Linked DNA regions of Caenorhabditis elegans. The protein of the gene in region 1 interacts with the protein of each later gene in a biochemical or structural test. Each region holds a gene or a part of one and is shown on either strand. Other genes may lie near its edges.

The links.
Region 2: the proteins of unc-76 (region 1) and unc-69 form a complex in vitro, tested with the Caenorhabditis elegans proteins (one study listed by BioGRID).

What each region holds. Positions count from the first base shown.
Region 1 is NC_003283.11:15,070,010-15,075,051, forward strand, and holds the start of unc-76 (UNC-76), read left to right. Parts: upstream 1-1,750; 5' UTR 1,751-1,874; coding exon 1,875-1,960; intron 1,961-3,562; coding exon 3,563-3,644; intron 3,645-3,694; coding exon 3,695-3,813; intron 3,814-4,771; coding exon 4,772-4,877; intron 4,878-5,042.
Region 2 is NC_003281.10:10,317,205-10,320,670, reverse strand, and holds unc-69 (Short coiled-coil protein homolog), read right to left. Parts: upstream 1,586-3,466; coding exon 1,540-1,585; intron 1,475-1,539; coding exon 1,337-1,474; intron 1,288-1,336; coding exon 1,149-1,287; coding exon of another isoform or gene 1,145-1,148; exon of another isoform or gene 892-1,144; coding exon of another isoform or gene 881-891; coding exon 673-880; downstream 1-672. Other genes in the region: ostf-4 (Dolichyl-diphosphooligosaccharide--protein glycosyltransferase subunit 4), read left to right, coding at 2,112-2,219; Protein unc-50, read left to right, coding at 2,541-2,674.

The DNA.
Region 1 (5,042 bases):
ACCAAAGAAAAAAGAGCCCTTTGAGGTCTAATAATCGTTGACTGCATAGTCCAACCAACTTCTTTCATCCAGAAAAAGGGCATAAATCACTCATTGTTATGTCGTAAACAAAAAAGTTTCGCCTTCTTTTTCTCGGCCAAATTCTTCTGGAGAAAAAAACTCGTATTTTTTCGGCAATTTGCAAGCTTTCAACTGTTTTCTGTTCTCGTATCATTTTCTTATAGTTATTTCGATCATAAAACTGAAACAAACTTTCAATTTTGTCAAGGGGTCAAACTTTTTCGGGCGCATGTCTTGAGATAATTGGGCTAATAAAATTAGTTTTAGACCCAGATGCAACATTTTTCTTCAAATTTGTATGTTTCTTGTTAGACATCGAAAACTCAGTTTTTTAATGACTTTGGAGAGATAATCGTATTTTTTCTGATCATGTTACTTTTCTAATGAACCACACCTATTTAATTGTCAATGAACGTATCACGAATAGGTTTCGGGTTTCCACATTTCCAAAATATGTAAGCGTAAGCCAAAGTTCTGTCACTTTTACACTTACTCTTCTGGAAACTGCTTTTTATTTAAAATTTTTTTAAAAAATTTCCTCGTTTAAATTAAAAGTTGTATTAATCAAGAGCGACAATTGCCGTTCGGCAATTTTTTTTGTCGAAAAATTCGGCGAAAAGCCGGTTTGCCGGAAATTTTTATAGGGATTTTTTATAAGCCGGAAACGCTTAAAACTGTGCCTTTTTGAAATTTTTTCCCGTCTTTTCTAGATATTTTCATAGGATTTGCTCCCTTTTCAAAATAAATTTAGGAACATTCATAGGATGCGTACAAATTTGCGGATTAAAATTGAAATTCTGAAGTTTCAGAAAAAATTTGCAAAACTACAATTTGCCGAACATTTTTGGCAGTTGCCGTTTTTCCGGCAAATTCGACATTTGCCGATTTGGCTGAAAAAAATCGTTTGCCGCCCAACCCTGATATAAATCATTGGAAACGTCTTCTGAAGTTGGACCCAAAACTCAATCTCACTTCGATCCCCCATTCCTATATTAACTAGACGAAAAATGATTTCGTAACAAATAATTCATCTATTTTTGCGGCGAACCGATTAGATCGGAGAGGAGTGGACACAATAATATGTCACCGCACTTTTCCTTCATTCTTGCACATCAATCACTCCGATTCTCGGCTCATCTGTGGGTGTGTGTGAGGCGAAAAAAATTGGATACTTGTTTCACATTCTCTCTCTCTCTCTTAGTCTTCTTAGTCCTGAAAAGAATGGCGCCGCTGCTGAGAGAAGGGGTTTCGTATTTCTGTGTTGGGTCTTTTTTCTTTTTCTCTATATTCCACCCCACCAAAACTCCCCGCCCCGCAAAAGAAATGTACACTCATTTTGTTGTATCTCTTTCTCTAATTCTCTCTCTCTCTCATTCACTCTCATTGAGAGAGTCGGTCAGAGAAAGACAACCGGAGGGATCCAATACATATGCGGTTTTCCGTTGATGTCTCTGCGTCTCTATCCGTCTCTTTTTCGTCTTTAGTTGCCTTTGCGCGCATAGTGACTACTGCAGAAGAGAGCAGCAGCAGCTCTGTTTCTACTTCTTCTTCTCCCAAACAACGACGACATTTGGAGCAAAGGCATAGAGCATTCATTTAGTTTGGCGGCTGGAGCCCTCTAGCATCTCTCTCTCTTTGTCTCTGCATCTCTCCAACGTCGTCAGTTTGCCTTTTTCCTCCTTCTTTCTCCCAATTTCAATCCCAAAAAGTCGTCGTCGTTTCCATTCTTCTTTTCTCTTCCACACTTTTGTGTGTCATCCGTTTTTCCTTCACCAAAACCTTTAAAAGTACCGATGCGTTTTGGAGAGGTGGCAATGGAGGCTGCAGATCTGCGAGTACCGGACATTCCGCTCGCCTCGTGTGATGATGATGATATCGATAGTAATAAGAATTTGAGCAAGTGAGTTTTTTTTTTGAAGCTGTTGGTGGGAGAGTGCAAAAAAAATCTTGAATTTTGCTGGATACTAGAGATTCCAAACTCCCTCACAAGTTGGAATTATGATCGTGAAGGCTTGTGATCCTCCGGTCATGTGTAGATTTACGCAGTTCGTGTACTCCGCGAGGAAAAGCGTACATTTTTTTGCAAAGGATTTAACAGTTTTTAGCAAGAAAGCAGGATTTCGGACCATACCAATTAATTTTTTTAAATCCGAAGTTTAAAACAGTGTTTTTAGGTGAAAAAAAATTACGTGATAAAAATATAGAAAACTAAAAAAAATAGTTTCAATTCCAGATTTTTAGTCAAAAATATAATTGCACACTTCTCCTCGTGGAGTACACGAGCTGCGTAAATCGACTCATGGCCGTTTTAGAGGTTCACAGTATTTTTCATCAGATATTTAGGTTACTGTAGCAATTTTTTAAGCTCTGGGCCTTTAAGAAATACTGTAATGTTGTATCAATATGAATATCCCTATTAAAAAATTTTAAATTCACTTTTTTAATATATATTTGGAAACCACCTTATTTATAAATAGGTTGTAGAGGTTTTTTTTGAAAAAAAAGCTTATTATCGAGCTGAAAAATTCAAATTAAGAGGGCATTTATTGAAAAAAAAATCGCAAAACTATAACTTCCCACTAGATTTTTTTGTAAATTCCTAGAAAGAACATCAGTGCACTTCTTTATGGTCCTTCGAATTCCTAGAGAACAAGAAAAATTCGCAGAAATTTTCTTTTAGTGCTTCCCTAAGTGTTTCTGACATACGTTCGATGGCCTCGTTATATCTTTTTTCTATTTCGAACATGCCAATAAAACTGGGCCCCAATCCAATTGAACGAGCCAAGTGTTGTAGAGCAGCAGCAGCAGAGGAGAGGGTACTTAAAAGCTCATCTTCTCACCCCCTCACGGCCATCCACACACACACACACACACACACACATACCCCAATACACATCCAAAAGATACACATTATCTAATTATCGGATCTTCATACTATTTGGGGGTCCTAAAGAGGATGGGGTGAAGCTGAAGAAATACATATTATGGGGACGCAGAAAAAATATAGAAAAATACGCTTTTTGAAATCGAGATGTAAGCGCGCTCCGCTGCCAAGTCTCTAAGTGCCCCGCCTCTAAACTTTGGGTCTCGTTAGGTATTTAGTGGTAAAACTAGATTTTTCGACTTTTTGTTATGTTTTATGTTCTTGTTTAGGATATTTTTATATCGAAATTGATGGAATTATAATTCACACTTAATAGAAAATATGTTATCACTTCTCAACTTCATATGAATTAATAAATATCATTTTGACATAAGAATCATGAAAAACAATCAAAAACGCAACACAATGTCGAAAAATTCATTGAATACGGATGAAATCGGTTAAAAAATAATTTAAAACGTTTGAATTTCCTAACGAGACCCGACGTTTTGGGGCGGGACATATTGATTTGTCGGTGGAGCGCGCTTGCACTTCACTTTCAAAAATTGTTTTCTATTCTGCGTATCCATAATATGAATAGATGAAAGGATAAAAATTAAAAAAACTTGTAACTTTCAGCCATTCATCAGACGAGAAACATCACTGCAACAGCAACAGCGACGAGGAACGTCTTCATGACGAGTTCTCTGGATCCCTTGAGGTTGGACTTCTTGCATTGTCACACTCTTTTCAACATTCTTTTATTTTCAGGACCTTGTCGGCAACTTTGACGAAAAAATTGCGGCATGCCTGAAGGACCACGAGGTGACGACAGCGGATATTGCACCTGTGCAGATACGTACTCAAGAGGAAGTTATGAATGAAAGCCAGTGAGTTTTTTGGATTTTATTTGTGGATTTAAAAAAATTGGTTGAAAAATTAAAATTTGGGATCTAAAATTATTTTGTTAAAGTTCCATAAATCGTAAAAATTCATAATTCTGTTCAGAATAGCACCAAAAAATTGTAGTTAAATCCAATTTTTTAAATTAAAAAGTAAACTAATTTATAGCCTTTTTTCATAAAAATTAGTGAAAAATGGAGCAATTTTGAAATAATTTCTACTTTGGAACGAATTAAAAAAAACTAGCCCGAAAAAAAGCCATGTGTCGATTTACGCAGTTCGTGTAATCCGCAACTAGGACAATTTTACAGTTTTTGGATAATATTCTTAGTTTTTGACTATTTTCGCAAGTTCTTTTTGTATTTATCATTCAAATTGTTAATTTTCTCGCTTTCCAACTTCAAATGACAATTTTCGTAGCAAAGGTCTCGCCCCGCGGATAAGTAATTACTGTCACTTCTGTCAATCGTCAGGTTTTTTTAAAATTCTTATTTAGATTAAAATTCACTTTTTTTCAACTCAAGCTACAGTAATTCGTTATCCGCGTGGCGAGTGAGGTATAACAAAAAATCTCCATAGTTGAAGTAAATTTAGATCCTTTTCCCGAAAACGCTATAAATCAGAAACGGCTCGAAAATTTGAATTCAAAAGTTTTTTCGAAACAGCAGTAAAACCCTCCTCGTCGTGGACTTCACGAGCTGCGTAAATCGACACATAAAGTTATAGTCATTATTACATAGAGTGCCTATAAACACAGAAAACATATTATTTTCTTCTAAAAATAAGAAAAATGGCCAAAACTCTCAACTATTTTTTTAAGAATTCAAAAAAATTCGAAATATAGTGAAAACGAGCATTTTGGATTTTTTTTTAAAAATTAGTAGTAAAACATAAAAAATTTGTTTTTGAGTTTTTCCAAAAATTAAGAAATTTCTAAAATTGCAGAACATGGTGGACATTAACCGGAAACTTTGGAAACATTCAACCTCTCGACTTTGGAACCTCTTCGATATGTAAAAAGATGGCCGCAGCTCTGGACAGTGATTCATTGGTGAGCAGAGGGTCCCCGGATCTTTTTGTTATTCACTTTGTCTTCCTTTTCTGTTTTTACTATTGCCTTCTTCCACCATCAACGTTCTTCTTGTTTTTCCATCTATCTTTTCCACTATGCTCATCTCTCACGCTCATCGTCTCCAGCTCCTTCCACTTGAGCATC
Region 2 (3,466 bases), on another chromosome or scaffold:
CGCGACGCACAATTGCAGATACTACTGTAGTTGGTACGAGACCCGAGACCCGAAGAACTCGGGGAATGTCCAATTGGGGAGACCCGAAGAACTCGGGGGATGTCCAATTGGGGGGATTACCAACTCGGGGGATTGGCCCCGCCCACAGAACCGTGGCTTGCAATACGCCCATTTCTGCAACTGCCGCACGATTTTAAAACTGTATTTTTCTCAATAGAGCGAGAAATAACAAGAAAAAATAATTTTAAAACCGTGCGGAGGTTGCAGAAATGGGCGTATTGTAAGGCACGGTTCTGTGGGCGTGGCCAATCCCCCGAGTTGGGAATCCACCCAGTTGGACATCCTCCGAGTTCCTTCGGGTCTCGAAATTTTGAACTAAAAAATCATGCTCCGCAAACACCGCGACGCACAATTGCAGATACTACTGTAGTTGGTACATTTTGAAATTAATTCGATTAAATTTTTTTTTCGAAAATTGCTTAAATTTACTTTTACCAGTTTCATTTTCTTTGTTTTTTATTTACTTTAACTGAAAAATAACTAAATAGCATTGTTAGACGTGAAATTATGTGATAAAATCAATGTCCACGGCGCCGGAAACCAGTTTGTCACCCAATGAAGGCATAGAACAACACAACAGAAGAGATGAGCACTCGTAACAGTTTTACTACACTAAATATATTCACACAAACACAAAAATGTGATAAAAAATCGTACAGAAAATGTAAAGAAAATAAAATAAGCGGGTTGAACACGATAAGAGAATTTTTGTTGTGCAAACTGAGCTCTTGAAACGAACGAAAGACTGTGGTATGGACATCTTCTATTTACAATCGGCCTAATTTCTAATATTCGTACTCTCCAAAATCGTCGTCGTGAACTGAATCATCTCTGTAAATATTAACTGTAATAGGATCTTGGAAAAATTATTTATTTATTTAATAAAATATATAACTTTTTGGTAACATTTCGGCAACTGAAAGGCTGACAAGATCGGAGGAGCAATTAAAGCGGGGTTAGTGGAAGGGGCAATTATGGTTTCAGGAAATCATGCACAGGGTCCCAATGTGGGCGGCGAGAATGGAACAATCAATGGACGGGGAATCGAATTAGAAAAAAAGATTCTTAAAGGACAACACAACACCTACTGCTTGGGCCGTGACGGCTGAGAAGACTGGAATACTGACGAGGAGGACATTAGGTTCTGAATGTACTGGCCGAGCACTTGATTTTCCGATCTCAACTTCAAACTCTCTTCCTTGACAGATTCGACGCGTTGTGAGAGATCTAAAATTTAAAAAATCAATATAGAAAAAGTGAAATTTCTGTGAATTACCATCCAAAGTATTCTGAAGTTCCAGCACTTGTGTGATCATCCGGGCTTTCTCTTCTGGATCCTCTGGTGGTTCCTCCTTCGGAAGTGGCTGGGCAGCTCTCGGAGTTTTCCCACCGCTAATTATAGTTACAGTGTCGTCTGGAAAATTAAACAATATTTTAAAAAAAGTTTATTTTCAGGAAATTCAATTTCAGAACACTTACCATCATCAGCGAGAGGAATATCATCTTGCTCGGTTTTCTGGCTCATCGTAATACTCGTTGTAACAGAAGTAGGGCTTAGAAGACGTACTGCGGAGCCAGCGGCTAGTGGACAATCGAAAAATCAATAAACGAGAGATGTGCGGCGAGCGTGAGAGACGCAGAGAATTGTCTATCGCCAACTTGGCAATGCAAATGCGCTCCGATGTATTCTTCGTGTATTTTGCCACTTTACATCCATTTTTCTTGCTTTTTCATCTGTTTTTCACGATTTCAATGAAAATTCATCGCAATTTTGCTAATTTTTACATTGAAAATAAGAAAATTTCATTGGGAAAGTAGGAAAAATTAATAAAATTAGTGTAAAATCGATTAAAAACTCGCTTTATCGATTTTGAAAGAATTCATCGAAGATTTTTGAGTTTTCACGAATCTATCTTAATTTTCAGTGTTCTTATTATACCTTATGTCTATTTATCTGCAGTACATACTGAATTTTCCATTTAAACGCCATTTTCTTTGATTTTTTCCCGCCGTTCCCCTAGTTTCGAAATTTCTATTATTTTTTTCCAGTCATGATCAGCGACGTTCAACTCGGAATTGCTGCCAACATTCTTGGAATCGCGATGCTCATGCTCGTCGTCCTCTTCCACTATCTCAACGCCAACCAGAAGAACAAGTAATTGTTCGGGAAAAGAGTTCGTTTTATTTCCCAATTCTCCATGATTTACGTAGTTTTTTTTTCAGATTTCTACTCTCCAAATGTGATATCTACCAAAAAAAATTCGTCTCTACCCTAATTTATTCTTGTTGGATGGGTTAATCAGTTGAAAGTTTTAATTTAATAAATTATATTTAATTTAAATTTTTATTCGTATTAATTTTTCGATTTATTGGTGTTTGTCTCACCTCGAATACTTATTTTCAGAAAAAAAAACTTTAAATTAAAATTTTAAAAAAAGTCCATCTCAGCACATCGATCCCCGGCAGAGATCGTATATGTCATGAGTTCACAGCCGCGAGGCAGCGGAACACAGCCAGGTCCATCCCAGTCACCGATTTCGCAGCGAAACTTTCGATACGAGCCGGCGAGAAGTGGTTACACGTCTCCGGGACAGTATTCCACGTATTCTACAAGGTTTGTGTGGGGAATTCCCTGAAAATTACACAAAAAGTGTTGAAATATGATGAAAATAAAGTTTTTTCGAAAAATTTTCCGACATTTTTGAATTTTTTCAAAAGTTTGGGTCATGACCTACTTTTTAAGGAGGTCACGTTAAAAACTAGGTCATGACCTACTTTTTAAGGAGGTCACGTTAAAAACTAGGTCCTGACCTACTTTTTAAGGAGGTCACGTTAAAAACTAGGTCATGACCTACTTTTTAAGGAGGTCACGTTAAAAACTAGGTCATGACCTACTTTTTAAGGAGGTCACGTTAAAAACTAGGTCATGACCTACTTTTTGAGGAGGTCACGTTAAAAACTAGGTCCTGACCTACTTTTTAAGGAGGTCACGTTAAAAACTAGGTCATGACCTACTTTTTGAGGAGGTCACGTTAAAAACTAGGTCCTGACCTACTTTTTAAGGAGGTCACGTTAAAAACTAGGTCATGACCTACTTTTTAAGGAGGTCACGTTAAAAACTAGGTCATGACCTACTTTTTAAGGAGGTCACGTTAAAAACTAGGTCATGACCTACTTTTTAAGGAGGTCACGTTAAAAACTAGGTCCTGACCTACTTTTTAAGGAGGTCACGTTAAAAACTAGGTCATGACCTACTTTTTGAGGAGGTCACGTTAAAAACTAGGTCCTGACCTACTTTTTAAGGAGGTCACGTTAAAAACTAGGTCATGACCTACTTTTTGAGGAGGTCACGTTAAAAACTAGGTCCTGACCTACTTTTTGAGGAGGTCAAGTTAAAAACTAGGTC